2 linked regions of the Arabidopsis thaliana genome follow. The protein of the gene in region 1 interacts with the protein of each later gene in a pairwise test. Each region holds a gene or a part of one and is shown in the gene's direction. Other genes may lie near its edges. The genes, in order: AT3G61340 and ABCC5.

The links.
Region 2: the proteins of AT3G61340 (region 1) and ABCC5 interact in a protein complementation assay, tested with the Arabidopsis thaliana proteins (one large-scale study listed by BioGRID).

Annotation. Positions count from the first base shown.
Region 1 is NC_003074.8:22,700,294-22,704,557, reverse strand, and holds AT3G61340 (F-box and associated interaction domains-containing protein), read left to right. Parts: upstream 1-2,027; 5' UTR 2,028-2,035; coding exon 2,036-3,343; 3' UTR 3,344-3,524; downstream 3,525-4,264. Other genes in the region: SKIP4 (SKP1 interacting partner 4), read right to left, coding at 184-778, 874-1,355.
Region 2 is NC_003070.9:1,065,043-1,073,048, reverse strand, and holds the start of ABCC5 (multidrug resistance-associated protein 5), read left to right. Parts: upstream 1-1,968; 5' UTR 1,969-2,361; intron 2,362-2,554; 5' UTR 2,555-2,652; coding exon 2,653-4,692; intron 4,693-4,801; coding exon 4,802-5,122; intron 5,123-5,199; coding exon 5,200-5,286; intron 5,287-5,498; coding exon 5,499-6,197; intron 6,198-6,277; coding exon 6,278-6,442; intron 6,443-6,523; coding exon 6,524-6,818; intron 6,819-6,899; coding exon 6,900-7,114; intron 7,115-7,193; coding exon 7,194-7,499; intron 7,500-7,605; coding exon 7,606-7,669; intron 7,670-7,754; coding exon 7,755-7,994; intron 7,995-8,006. UniProt on the Arabidopsis thaliana protein: Pump for glutathione S-conjugates. Involved in regulation of K(+) and Na(+) cell content.

The DNA of each region.
Region 1 (4,264 bases):
TATAACTCTTTTTATCACCCAATTTTGAGATTTTGAATTGGGGGTTGTTGTTTATGAATCAGGAAGACAATAATTTGTGTGATTCAGACAAGCTTGTGAATTTACATGAACAACAGAAACAGCATATGTTGTTTACAAGGACGAAGAATTTTGAGCCAAGAGAAAAGTAGAGAGAGCTAGACATTATATGGCTACAGATTTACAGCTAATAACATCTATATCATCATCCCAAGTCTTTGGTATAGAAGAACACACCATTACTCCATTCATCTTATTCTTCCTCACATTCTCAACATCAATTACCACAGTAGAGCAATCCTTACCAATCACAAAGATACTATTCCCAATAGATACAAGCCGACAAGGCTGCTTCATCACCAATTGAGATAGCTTCCCGATATGAATCCACATTCTCGTATCCTTGCACCACATTGTTAGCTTAGCTCCAAAAGTCTGATCCAAAACATAGAGATCACCTGCCACAACAACTGCTGGACCTCGCCATCCTGATGCCATATCATCATCCATACGTTCCCAAATCCCGCTAGATGCACTATAGACTGCAGTGGAAGATCCTCCAACACCACCCCGAATATAAATCCTTCCATCCATTACAAATGAATCTTCCATTTCAGGGACAATATTCACATCAGAACAAGATTTGCAGGTTCTGGTCAAAGGATCATAGATGTCCCAAGTTCGTTTAGCGTTTGGATTCAATCCTAACCCACCAATTGCAATAATTTTTCCATCCAGCGTTTCACAAGCAAAGTAGCATCTGCATATGCAATCGAAATATCAAGGGCTGGAAAGAACAATATCGAGCTGGTTGCTGCTAATGGCAAGATTAAGAATCCTGAGAAATATTAGTACCTTTTAGTTGAAAGAGGAGGTACTACGTCAAACCAAGTGTTCATAGCAGCATCATAGCAATAAATCTCATCAGTAGCATCTTCTAACCAACCACATCCACCCAACACAAACAGTCTCTTACCCAATACTGCAAAACCCATGCCTTCTCTCATTGGGATATATGGATAATCATTGATTCTTTTCCATGACCTTCTGGACGAGAACGGATTCAGCATGTGTAAGAAGACACCGCCAGATATGTCGCGGCACAACGCGTAAATCCAAGATTCAGCCAAGTTAAACTCGTTTCGATAGTCGCACATTTCATCACTGCACACAAAATCTCTCCATCTCCTTGAAACACATTTCATTGCCATGTGATATTCTCTTGGAACTCTAGCTAAGCAGGATTTTGAGATATCATCAGGAACTCCGCTTATAAGTGCAATTTGTGTCTCATTTGATTGACCTGCACGTTGTGGATCCTCTACTATACACGCCATTGTGAATTGATTCTACAAAATCCTGTTCATGACCAAAAGAGAGACAAACACTGGCTCAGATATGGCTAATCCCTATACTAACTTAAAGTAGCAATTCACATAAGTGGCCTTTGTGATCAAGAGCAGCATTAATCAAGATATTTGAAGATAAACAAGAGCATTGCCATAACAACAAATCAAACATTCAAAGATGAAGAAACAGATCGAATTCCAACAAGTACAGATCCAATGTCAAACCAAATTATTTAACTCTCACAGTCCACTGATCAAACCCGTCAGCAATTACATCAAATCCACTACACATACAATCAGATCTACAACTCCAGCAATAAATAAATAAATAAAATCAGAATCGAAACAGATCTTAAATCGTCTCAGAAGAAACGAGACTGAGGAAAAAGTAAGAAATAAGATGAGAAATTGAGAGGAATCTAGAAGAAGTTACCTTCAGGGCACGTCGCAAGGAACAGTAGAGTATATTCCGTTTGTGAGCTTCCCGGCGAAGAAGAAGACGATCACTTTCTTCTAAGAAACCACAACGGCATCGTTTTGAATCGTCAGCTCATTTTTTAATTATTTTGCAGCCATACCCTCATACTATTAATTTTATACATGTAGGCATTTATATTCTCATTTAAATCAGAAAGACCCAGGATCTTGAGAGACACGTTTTAAGCGTTATGATTATTATTAGGTTTAATCAGACGGAAGGGAGAAAAAAAGTCATTAGGGTTTTAAGAGAAGCCGCCTCCACCATGATGACACGGCGCAAGAAACGATCTTGTTCGAATCAAAAGAAAGAAGAAGAGAAATCCGAACGGATCCCGTTCGATCTCGTAATCGAGATACTCTTGAGATTGCCTGTCAAGTCTATAGCTAGATTTCGTTACGTATCGAAGCTATGGCAGTCCACATTGCGAGGTCAGCATTTCACCGAGTCCTACTTGACCATATCTTCGTCTCGTCCGAAGATCTTGTTTACATGCCTAAAAGACTGCGAAACGTTCTTCTTCTCATCACCACATCCTCAAGATCTGTCTCCTATAGCCGCAAATTTGCATATGAGTTTCCCGATTAGCTGTCCCTCTAATATTTGTCGTCCTGTTCGTGGCTGGTTATGTGGTTTACATCAACGAACTACAAAGGGAACGACGGTTACTGAGCCATTGATATGTAACCCTAGCACAGGGGAATCCGTGGTCTTACGTAAAGTGAAAACAAGGAGGAAAGGAGTGATAAGCTTTTTGGGGTTTGATCCGATCGACAAAAATTTCAAAGTATTATGCATGACGCGTTCATGTATAGGACGAGCTGATTCTGAAGAGCATCAAGTTCACACGTTAGAAACCGGGAAGAAACCGTCAAGGAAAATGATCGAATGTGACATACTACATTATCCTGTTCCTGTGGAGCATACTAATGGCTTTTCTCAATATGATGGGGTATGCATCAATGGTGTTTTGTATTACTTAGCCATTGTCCATGGTGTTTCTGACGACAGGTATCCTGATGTAGTATGCTTTGAGTTTGGATCTGACAAATTCAAATATATCAAGAAAGTTGCTGGTCATGACATGGAAATATTGTACTTGGGAAGGCGGCTGAATTCAATTCTAGTAAACTACAAGGGTAAATTAGCTAAGCTTCAGCCCAACATGCCTAACAACGTATGCACCGGTATTCAACTATGGGTTCTTGAAGACGCGGAGAAACACGAATGGTCAAGTCATATCTACGTTTTGCCTCCTCCGTGGAGGAATGTATATGAAGAGACCAAGTTATGTTTCGTTGGAACGACTCGTAAAGGTGAAATTGTGTTGTCCCCAAACACTATATCCGACTTTTTCTACCTTCTCTATTACAATCCCGATAGGAACACTATCACTATAGTTAAAATCAAAGGAATGGAAACTTTTCAGAGTCACAAAGCTTACACCTTTCTTGACCATTTAGAGGATGTTAACCTTGTACCCATTTGGAGGATGTGAAGCTTGTGTCAAAGTTTTCAGGATTTTGGGCTCGTATAACATAGCCCGTTTATTATTTTCTCAGATTACTTTTATGTTCTAGTGATGGTATTCGTCTTTTATTTCATACACTTGTAAGACATGGTTGTTTTAAGCTCAAATACTTTGCTATTTATAAAATTTCACGAGCAATCAGACTTTGGGAATTGTGTCTGATATTTAATAAGCAAACTACAATAGAGCTAACGAATTTGTACCACCCCTCAAAACCCTAGTTTATTTATATCCTTTTTAATTTTTGGTAATATGAGTTCTATATAAGATTTTTGGTAATTTTTAGTTTCCGAGATTGTAGATGAATAATAGACATACACTTCTGAGTCATGGTTGCTTTTGGCTCAAGTTTTGTAGCTTTTTAAAACTCTTCTTTTCATGAGCAGTTTTGCCAATTATCTTAGATGAGTTTCATATTCTTATTCATTTAGGTGCAATAACAACATTACAACAAGGCTAAAGAATTAGTTTCAAGAGATAGTAAATGGATTCTAAATAAAGCAAATATGGTATAACTGGCTTCCTGACCCAAACTATGACTTATGTAAAAGTGTAAAAAGTTGAATCTGCATATTATATATACAACATAAACATATACAAAAGGAAGATATACAAACGTTTACCTATCAACTGGTATAAAGTGTTGTATCTTCTATACGATGTTGAAAGTTAAACTTGATTTTGAATCAAGTTTAATTATTGGATCAATTATCCAATAATTAATTATGGCCAAATCCAAGTTCTAGAGTTTTCTCTAGAAATATCATCATTTCCACCTCCTTAAAAGATTCTAGAAATTTTCTAGAATCATCTTCCACCTCCTTAAACATAAAAATCTAGATACTCTAATAGAATAATCTAGATAATTTGAATAATGTAATCTAGATC
Region 2 (8,006 bases), on another chromosome or scaffold:
TGAATTTAAGGTGGTGGGCCATTCAATGGGCCTAACTTGGCCCGTACAATCTGTAACATCATTTAGTATTGAATTCACATTCACCAATCACCAATCACCTTACCAAAATAGTGCGATAGGAATTAAATTGTGTTTGGCTTGGTATTTGTTAAATCATCAATAGACAATAATAGTTTGATAAGACTTACAACAACTGAATATTTATAACTCGCAATTAGCCCTGTTAACATTCCAGGCAGTGCCTGCGTTTAAGCAACAATACAGAGGCTTCTTTTAGGTCATATGTCAACACCTAAAACAAATAGATAACATGTGAGAGAAATGTGTTAGGTATATTACACTATGATTAGTTCTTTTGTTAAAGGACCACGCACCACTATCATTATCCACGTTACACACGGTTTGAACTTAAAGAAGATCGCATGTTCCACTATCTTTTTTGTTGTTGTTTGTCCTCCTCAATTGAACAATTTGCATACGTAAGCGACATTTGGTTCATATACAGTGTTCATGAACTGAGCAACATATATACTGTTTTTTTTTCATCTAAGAAAAGCTACCTTTTTGAAATTTGTATTTATGCAAACGAAAGATAATGGAAAGTGAGCTGGCATGGACCGAAAGTGGTACAAAAAAAGTTTGAACAAAGCCATTACTATACCAAACAAACGCAAATGACAAAAACTACGCAGCATTAACAACTATATTACAATTGTCATTATTTATGTATAACATTATAATACACTATCAAGGCTTCTAGATTGTTACATCATCTCCTTAATTCTTCCAAGTTACATCATCATATATAGTTGAAATTAATTTCTATTATTCGTGAGAATATAAGTTGATTGGAAGAAGGAAGATTCAGTCTATATATATATTTGAAATACTATATGTGGAAGAACGTAGAATTCCCTATTGCGAACTAGAAATGTGTTGACGTACCGTGTATAACCAAATGTAATATATTAATCAAAGGACATATTAACGTACACATTTTTTACTGCATAGTCAGCAATAATTGACATTTAATCATACATGTATTAGAAAATGGTATGCCACGTAAGACGCATTACCTTGCATGAATGGCATGTGTAGTAAGTCGTCATCCGCATATTGTCCAAACAAACAAACAAATAAACACATACGGGCAAGAATTAAAAAAAAATCATCTTTTGTTGGTCTTATATAGTTGCTTATCTGAATAGTCTCACACTCTCTCACTTGAGAGCAAGAGTGCATGTAATTATACTATAGTATTAGTACATACGAACAATTTGGTGGTGAGTATAAGTTTGGATCTTTGGACTATATATAAAGTCATTAATTTCATACTCTTACGCTATTCTTTTATATCTTTTAATCAAGTTGACACATTTGTCTCATTGTTTTGGTGCAGAGATGATAGATTGGTTTTCTTTCTTTTATATATATGTATTGAAACGATAACGTGTATGTCTCCACTTTCTACAAATGAATTTTAAAAAGCTCAATGTGTATACATAGGAATTGATAAACCAGTGATTATATAGTATTTTGTAATATACTGACACCTATACAGTTTTATTTTAGTAATATTTGTAGCCTTGTAGACAATACATAATACTCATCACGTCACGTGTAGAATATTCCATGGACCGTATAAGGTTCCTCCTCCATTGTATCCCACAATTAATTAGACACAGCTTAGATTAGCAAAATGGTAATTTCTTTCGTTTGAGTTATGATTGGCGATTTCGTATAAAACGAATCGAGAGAATAAAAACGTAAAAGAATCGGAATATGATTCATTGCTTACCATGGTTAAGTTTAATGATAAGTGCTTTTATTGATAACATATATGGTCAAATAATACAATAATTTGATCATAAAGAGTAAAGACAATTGAAAAATGAAATCACCAAAAAAGTCAGATCACATACAGACACATTGACGCATCGACGTCAAGCATCGTGAGCGCACAAAGAGCTTACGGCTTTATTATTAACACACACACTAAGCAAAACAGTAAGTCCACGAGAAAGCATCCAAAAAGCCCAAAGGAACCACCTTTATTTTTTATTTTATTTTAGGCAAAGGAAGCTCCTTTATTAAATTCCCAATCTTCTTCCACTACTTTGCACAATCTTTAATCGATCCAACCAATAAATTTTGCATTTTTTTTCGTTGGCGAATGAAGGATTAGAGAGAAACAGAAGAAATTGTTAATTTTTTTCTTGTTGATTTTAATTAAAGAGAAGAGAGATCTCTCTTCTCGATTGCTCTCAAGAACCCAAGTGACGTCTGGTTTCAGCTGATTTGTTTCTTCTCATTCTCTATCTTCTTCTCTGGGAAATATCGATTTTGATCTATTAAGAGCTGGTGAGAGCCAAAGTTTCCTTTTTGTTTGTTTGTTTGTTTGTTTGTTGTTTGTATTTTTGTATCTCTGTGATCGCTTCTACGTGTTGGGTCATGCAGAGAAACTCATTTTGTTTTGATTTGCAATGTGTCAATTCCACTTTGAAATATAAGATTCATCGCCTCTCTCTCCTTTGTTTTTTTTCTTCTTCTGCAGCTACGAGCTTTGGGATGTGGTGAGATGCTTGTTCTATCTCGAACAATCCGCCGGTTGTTGATTTTAAACAAACTCTCTATCACAAATCTTTCCCGATCATGGATTTTATTGAGATCTCGTTGATCTTTCGAGAGCATTTGCCACTACTGGAACTATGTTCGGTCATCATCAACCTCCTACTCTTTCTTGTCTTTCTATTTGCTGTCTCCGCGAGGCAGATTCTCGTCTGCGTGAGAAGAGGCAGAGATAGGCTCTCTAAGGACGATACGGTTTCAGCTTCTAATCTTAGCTTGGAAAGAGAGGTTAACCATGTTAGTGTTGGGTTTGGGTTTAATCTGTCTTTGCTCTGTTGCTTATATGTGTTAGGCGTCCAAGTTTTGGTGTTAGTATATGATGGGGTTAAGGTTAGAAGAGAAGTCAGTGACTGGTTTGTTCTTTGCTTTCCAGCTTCTCAGAGTTTAGCTTGGTTTGTCCTTAGCTTCTTAGTTCTTCATTTGAAATACAAGTCTTCAGAGAAGCTACCCTTCTTGGTGAGGATATGGTGGTTCCTGGCGTTTTCGATTTGCCTCTGTACTATGTATGTCGATGGAAGAAGGCTAGCCATTGAAGGTTGGAGCAGATGTTCTTCTCATGTTGTCGCCAATTTAGCTGTTACACCTGCTCTTGGGTTTCTCTGCTTTCTGGCCTGGAGAGGCGTTTCTGGTATTCAAGTTACCAGAAGCTCCTCTGATCTTCAAGAGCCTTTGCTTGTTGAAGAAGAGGCAGCTTGTCTTAAAGTTACTCCATATAGTACTGCTGGGCTAGTTAGCCTTATTACGCTTTCATGGTTGGATCCACTTCTCTCGGCTGGTTCAAAAAGACCGCTTGAGCTTAAGGATATACCGCTTCTTGCACCAAGAGATAGAGCCAAATCAAGTTACAAGGTCTTGAAGTCGAATTGGAAGAGATGCAAGTCCGAGAATCCTTCAAAGCCTCCTTCTTTAGCTCGTGCAATTATGAAATCATTTTGGAAAGAAGCTGCTTGCAATGCCGTATTTGCTGGGTTGAATACTCTTGTGTCCTATGTCGGTCCTTACTTGATCAGCTACTTTGTTGATTATCTTGGAGGGAAGGAGATTTTCCCTCATGAAGGATACGTACTCGCTGGGATATTCTTTACGTCCAAGCTTATAGAGACAGTCACCACCCGCCAGTGGTATATGGGTGTTGATATCCTAGGGATGCATGTTAGATCAGCTCTTACAGCAATGGTATACCGAAAAGGTCTCAAACTTTCAAGTATAGCCAAGCAGAACCACACGAGCGGTGAAATTGTAAACTACATGGCAGTCGATGTCCAGCGCATAGGAGATTACTCATGGTATCTTCATGATATTTGGATGCTTCCGATGCAAATAGTTCTTGCTCTTGCAATCCTATATAAAAGCGTGGGCATAGCTGCTGTAGCTACATTGGTTGCTACAATAATCTCGATTCTTGTCACGATTCCACTCGCTAAGGTCCAGGAAGACTATCAAGATAAGTTGATGACTGCGAAAGATGAAAGAATGAGGAAAACCTCAGAGTGTCTTAGGAACATGAGAGTTCTGAAATTGCAGGCATGGGAAGATCGTTATAGAGTGAGATTGGAAGAAATGAGGGAAGAGGAGTATGGTTGGCTTCGCAAAGCCTTATATTCTCAGGCTTTTGTTACTTTTATCTTTTGGAGTTCCCCCATTTTTGTCGCCGCAGTTACATTCGCTACTTCGATATTTCTAGGCACTCAACTTACCGCTGGAGGTGTTCTTTCTGCTCTGGCGACATTCAGAATTCTTCAGGAGCCACTTCGGAACTTTCCTGATCTGGTTTCAATGATGGCTCAGACAAAGGTTTCTCTTGATAGGATTTCTGGGTTCTTGCAGGAGGAAGAACTTCAAGAAGATGCAACTGTTGTTATTCCACGGGGACTTTCGAATATAGCCATAGAGATTAAAGATGGTGTGTTTTGTTGGGACCCTTTTTCTTCAAGGCCGACATTATCTGGGATTCAGATGAAAGTGGAGAAGGGTATGCGTGTGGCTGTCTGTGGCACAGTTGGCTCTGGAAAATCAAGTTTTATCTCTTGCATCCTAGGGGAAATCCCAAAAATCTCTGGCGAAGTAAGTTAATGTTTTGGGGTGTTTGTCTCAATTGCTTCACTATTTTTTCTTTTCTTTTCTTATATTCACTTAGCTATCATTGATCCAACTGCTGATAATTGTTATATAGGTTAGAATATGTGGTACTACTGGTTATGTGTCTCAATCGGCTTGGATTCAGTCTGGTAACATTGAAGAAAACATTCTATTTGGCAGTCCAATGGAGAAAACAAAGTACAAGAATGTGATACAAGCATGTTCCCTAAAGAAAGATATAGAGCTTTTCTCACATGGGGACCAAACTATTATCGGGGAGAGAGGTATAAATCTCAGCGGAGGTCAGAAACAGCGTGTACAACTTGCAAGGGCATTATATCAAGATGCTGACATTTATTTACTAGACGACCCTTTTAGTGCTCTTGATGCACACACTGGCTCTGATTTGTTTAGGGTAAGAAGCTATTCAAGTCATGTTTTCATATTTTGAGTTTGAACGTTTGCGTAACACGGTTATTAATGGCTATACAGGATTATATTCTATCTGCATTGGCTGAGAAAACTGTGGTTTTTGTAACGCATCAAGTTGAGTTTCTCCCTGCAGCTGATCTAATATTGGTAAGAAACTCTTTTTTCTCGGTTTTACTACACATTAATTCTGGCTACTGTTGGTCCTTTTAGAATTGCTAAAGGGTCTCTTTTAGGTGTTTAGCTTACCAGCCTGTGATGAACTTATCTCTATTGTTGCAGAAAGGTAAAATTGTTGAAGGAGTTTCCAAACTGTTTCCGTTATGATAAGCTCTGAAATATTTATTTGTGTTGTTTCAAAGGTTCTGAAGGAAGGCAGGATTATTCAATCGGGTAAATATGATGATCTGCTGCAAGCAGGTACTGATTTTAAGGCCTTAGTGTCTGCCCACCATGAAGCAATCGAGGCAATGGACATCCCAAGTCCCTCCTCAGAAGACTCTGATGAAAATCCTATTCGCGATAGTTTGGTCTTGCATAATCCAAAGTCTGATGTTTTTGAAAATGACATCGAGACTTTGGCAAAGGAAGTACAAGAGGGAGGATCTGCTTCAGATCTAAAGGCAATCAAAGAGAAGAAGAAGAAAGCTAAGCGTTCCCGCAAAAAGCAGCTTGTTCAAGAAGAGGAACGAGTAAAGGGAAAAGTCAGCATGAAGGTGTACTTGTCATACATGGGTGCTGCATATAAAGGGGCTCTGATTCCTCTTATTATACTCGCACAAGCTGCTTTCCAATTTCTTCAGATTGCTAGTAATTGGTGGATGGCTTGGGCAAATCCTCAAACTGAAGGTGACGAATCTAAAGTGGATCCTACTCTGCTTCTCATCGTTTATACGGCTTTAGCTTTCGGGAGCTCTGTGTTCATATTTGTTCGAGCTGCTCTGGTTGCAACTTTTGGTCTTGCAGCTGCACAGAAACTGTTCTTAAATATGCTCAGAAGTGTGTTCCGAGCGCCAATGTCATTCTTTGATTCCACTCCTGCAGGAAGAATTTTGAATCGGGTATGTAGATGTGGTATTATAACCAAATTCCACAGTTTCTGTGTTACTTTTCTGATTTTGGGGATTTTATTGATGTGCAGGTTTCTATTGATCAAAGTGTTGTAGATCTTGACATTCCTTTTAGACTCGGTGGGTTTGCTTCAACAACAATACAACTCTGTGGCATTGTCGCTGTAATGACCAATGTTACCTGGCAAGTTTTCCTTCTTGTTGTTCCGGTAGCTGTTGCTTGCTTTTGGATGCAGGTAAATCTATTTTCGATTTTTCCTCTGAATAACTGTGAAAGATTGTTTTCGTAATTTAGTTTATATTGAAATAAAATGCAGAAATATTACATGGCTTCTTCAAGAGAATTGGTTCGGATAGTTAGTATCCAGAAGTCTCCAATAATTCATCTTTTTGGAGAATCAATTGCTGGTGCTGCCACAATAAGAGGATTTGGCCAGGAAAAAAGATTTATCAAAAGGAATCTTTATCTTCTAGATTGTTTTGTTCGACCTTTCTTCTGCAGTATCGCTGCTATCGAATGGCTTTGTTTACGCATGGAATTACTTTCCACACTTGTATTTGCTTTCTGTATGGTTTTACTCGTCAGTTTTCCACATGGAACCATTGATCCAAGTAAGTATCTCTAGTTACTATAACAAAAAAAGCATCAACGAGCAGCCGGTTTTTCTAATATTGATGTTCCTGTTGTAATAGGCATGGCAGGTCTTGCTGTGACATATGGACTTAACTTGAATGGACGTCTATCACGATGGATACTTAGCTTTTGTAAGCTTGAAAACAAAATAATCTCAATCGAAAGGATTTATCAGTACAGTCAGATTGTAGGAGAGGCCCCAGCAATTATAGAAGATTTCCGCCCGCCTTCCTCGTGGCCTGCAACGGGAACAATTGAGCTAGTTGATGTTAAGGTACTATTCAAAAATACTATTTTTATTACCTCTCTGCACTTCCTTTCCCTGCTTTCTTATTGCTTCGTTCTTTTCGAAGGTTCGTTATGCTGAGAATCTTCCAACAGTACTCCATGGGGTGAGCTGTGTGTTTCCGGGTGGAAAAAAGATTGGGATTGTTGGGCGAACGGGAAGCGGAAAGTCGACTTTGATTCAAGCTTTGTTTCGATTGATTGAGCCAACTGCTGGAAAAATTACTATTGACAACATTGACATTTCTCAAATTGGTCTTCATGATCTTCGTAGTCGCCTTGGGATTATACCTCAAGATCCTACATTATTTGAAGGAACAATCCGAGCAAATCTTGACCCACTTGAAGAACATTCAGATGATAAAATCTGGGAGGTATCTATAAATATGTTGTTTGATACTCTTATCTTGTTTATGTTTTAGACACTAAACTCTGAGATTTGGAGTTTGATTCTAGAGATTTACCCAACTTTGCTGACAGGCGCTTGATAAATCCCAGCTTGGAGACGTTGTTAGAGGAAAAGACCTAAAACTTGACTCTCCAGGTAACTATTTACATCAAAAGTCCTCTCTTTTTCCCGGGTCTTTTTCGCTTCTTTCTACTGATTTTTTTGGCTCAAAACCGAGTAGTACTGGAAAATGGAGATAACTGGAGTGTAGGGCAGAGACAGCTTGTGTCACTTGGACGAGCATTACTGAAACAAGCCAAAATACTTGTTCTTGATGAAGCAACAGCATCGGTTGACACAGCAACAGACAATCTGATCCAGAAGATAATCAGAACAGAGTTTGAAGACTGCACGGTCTGCACCATTGCTCACCGGATACCAACTGTTATAGACAGTGACCTAGTTTTGGTTCTCAGCGACGGTTAGTCTCATA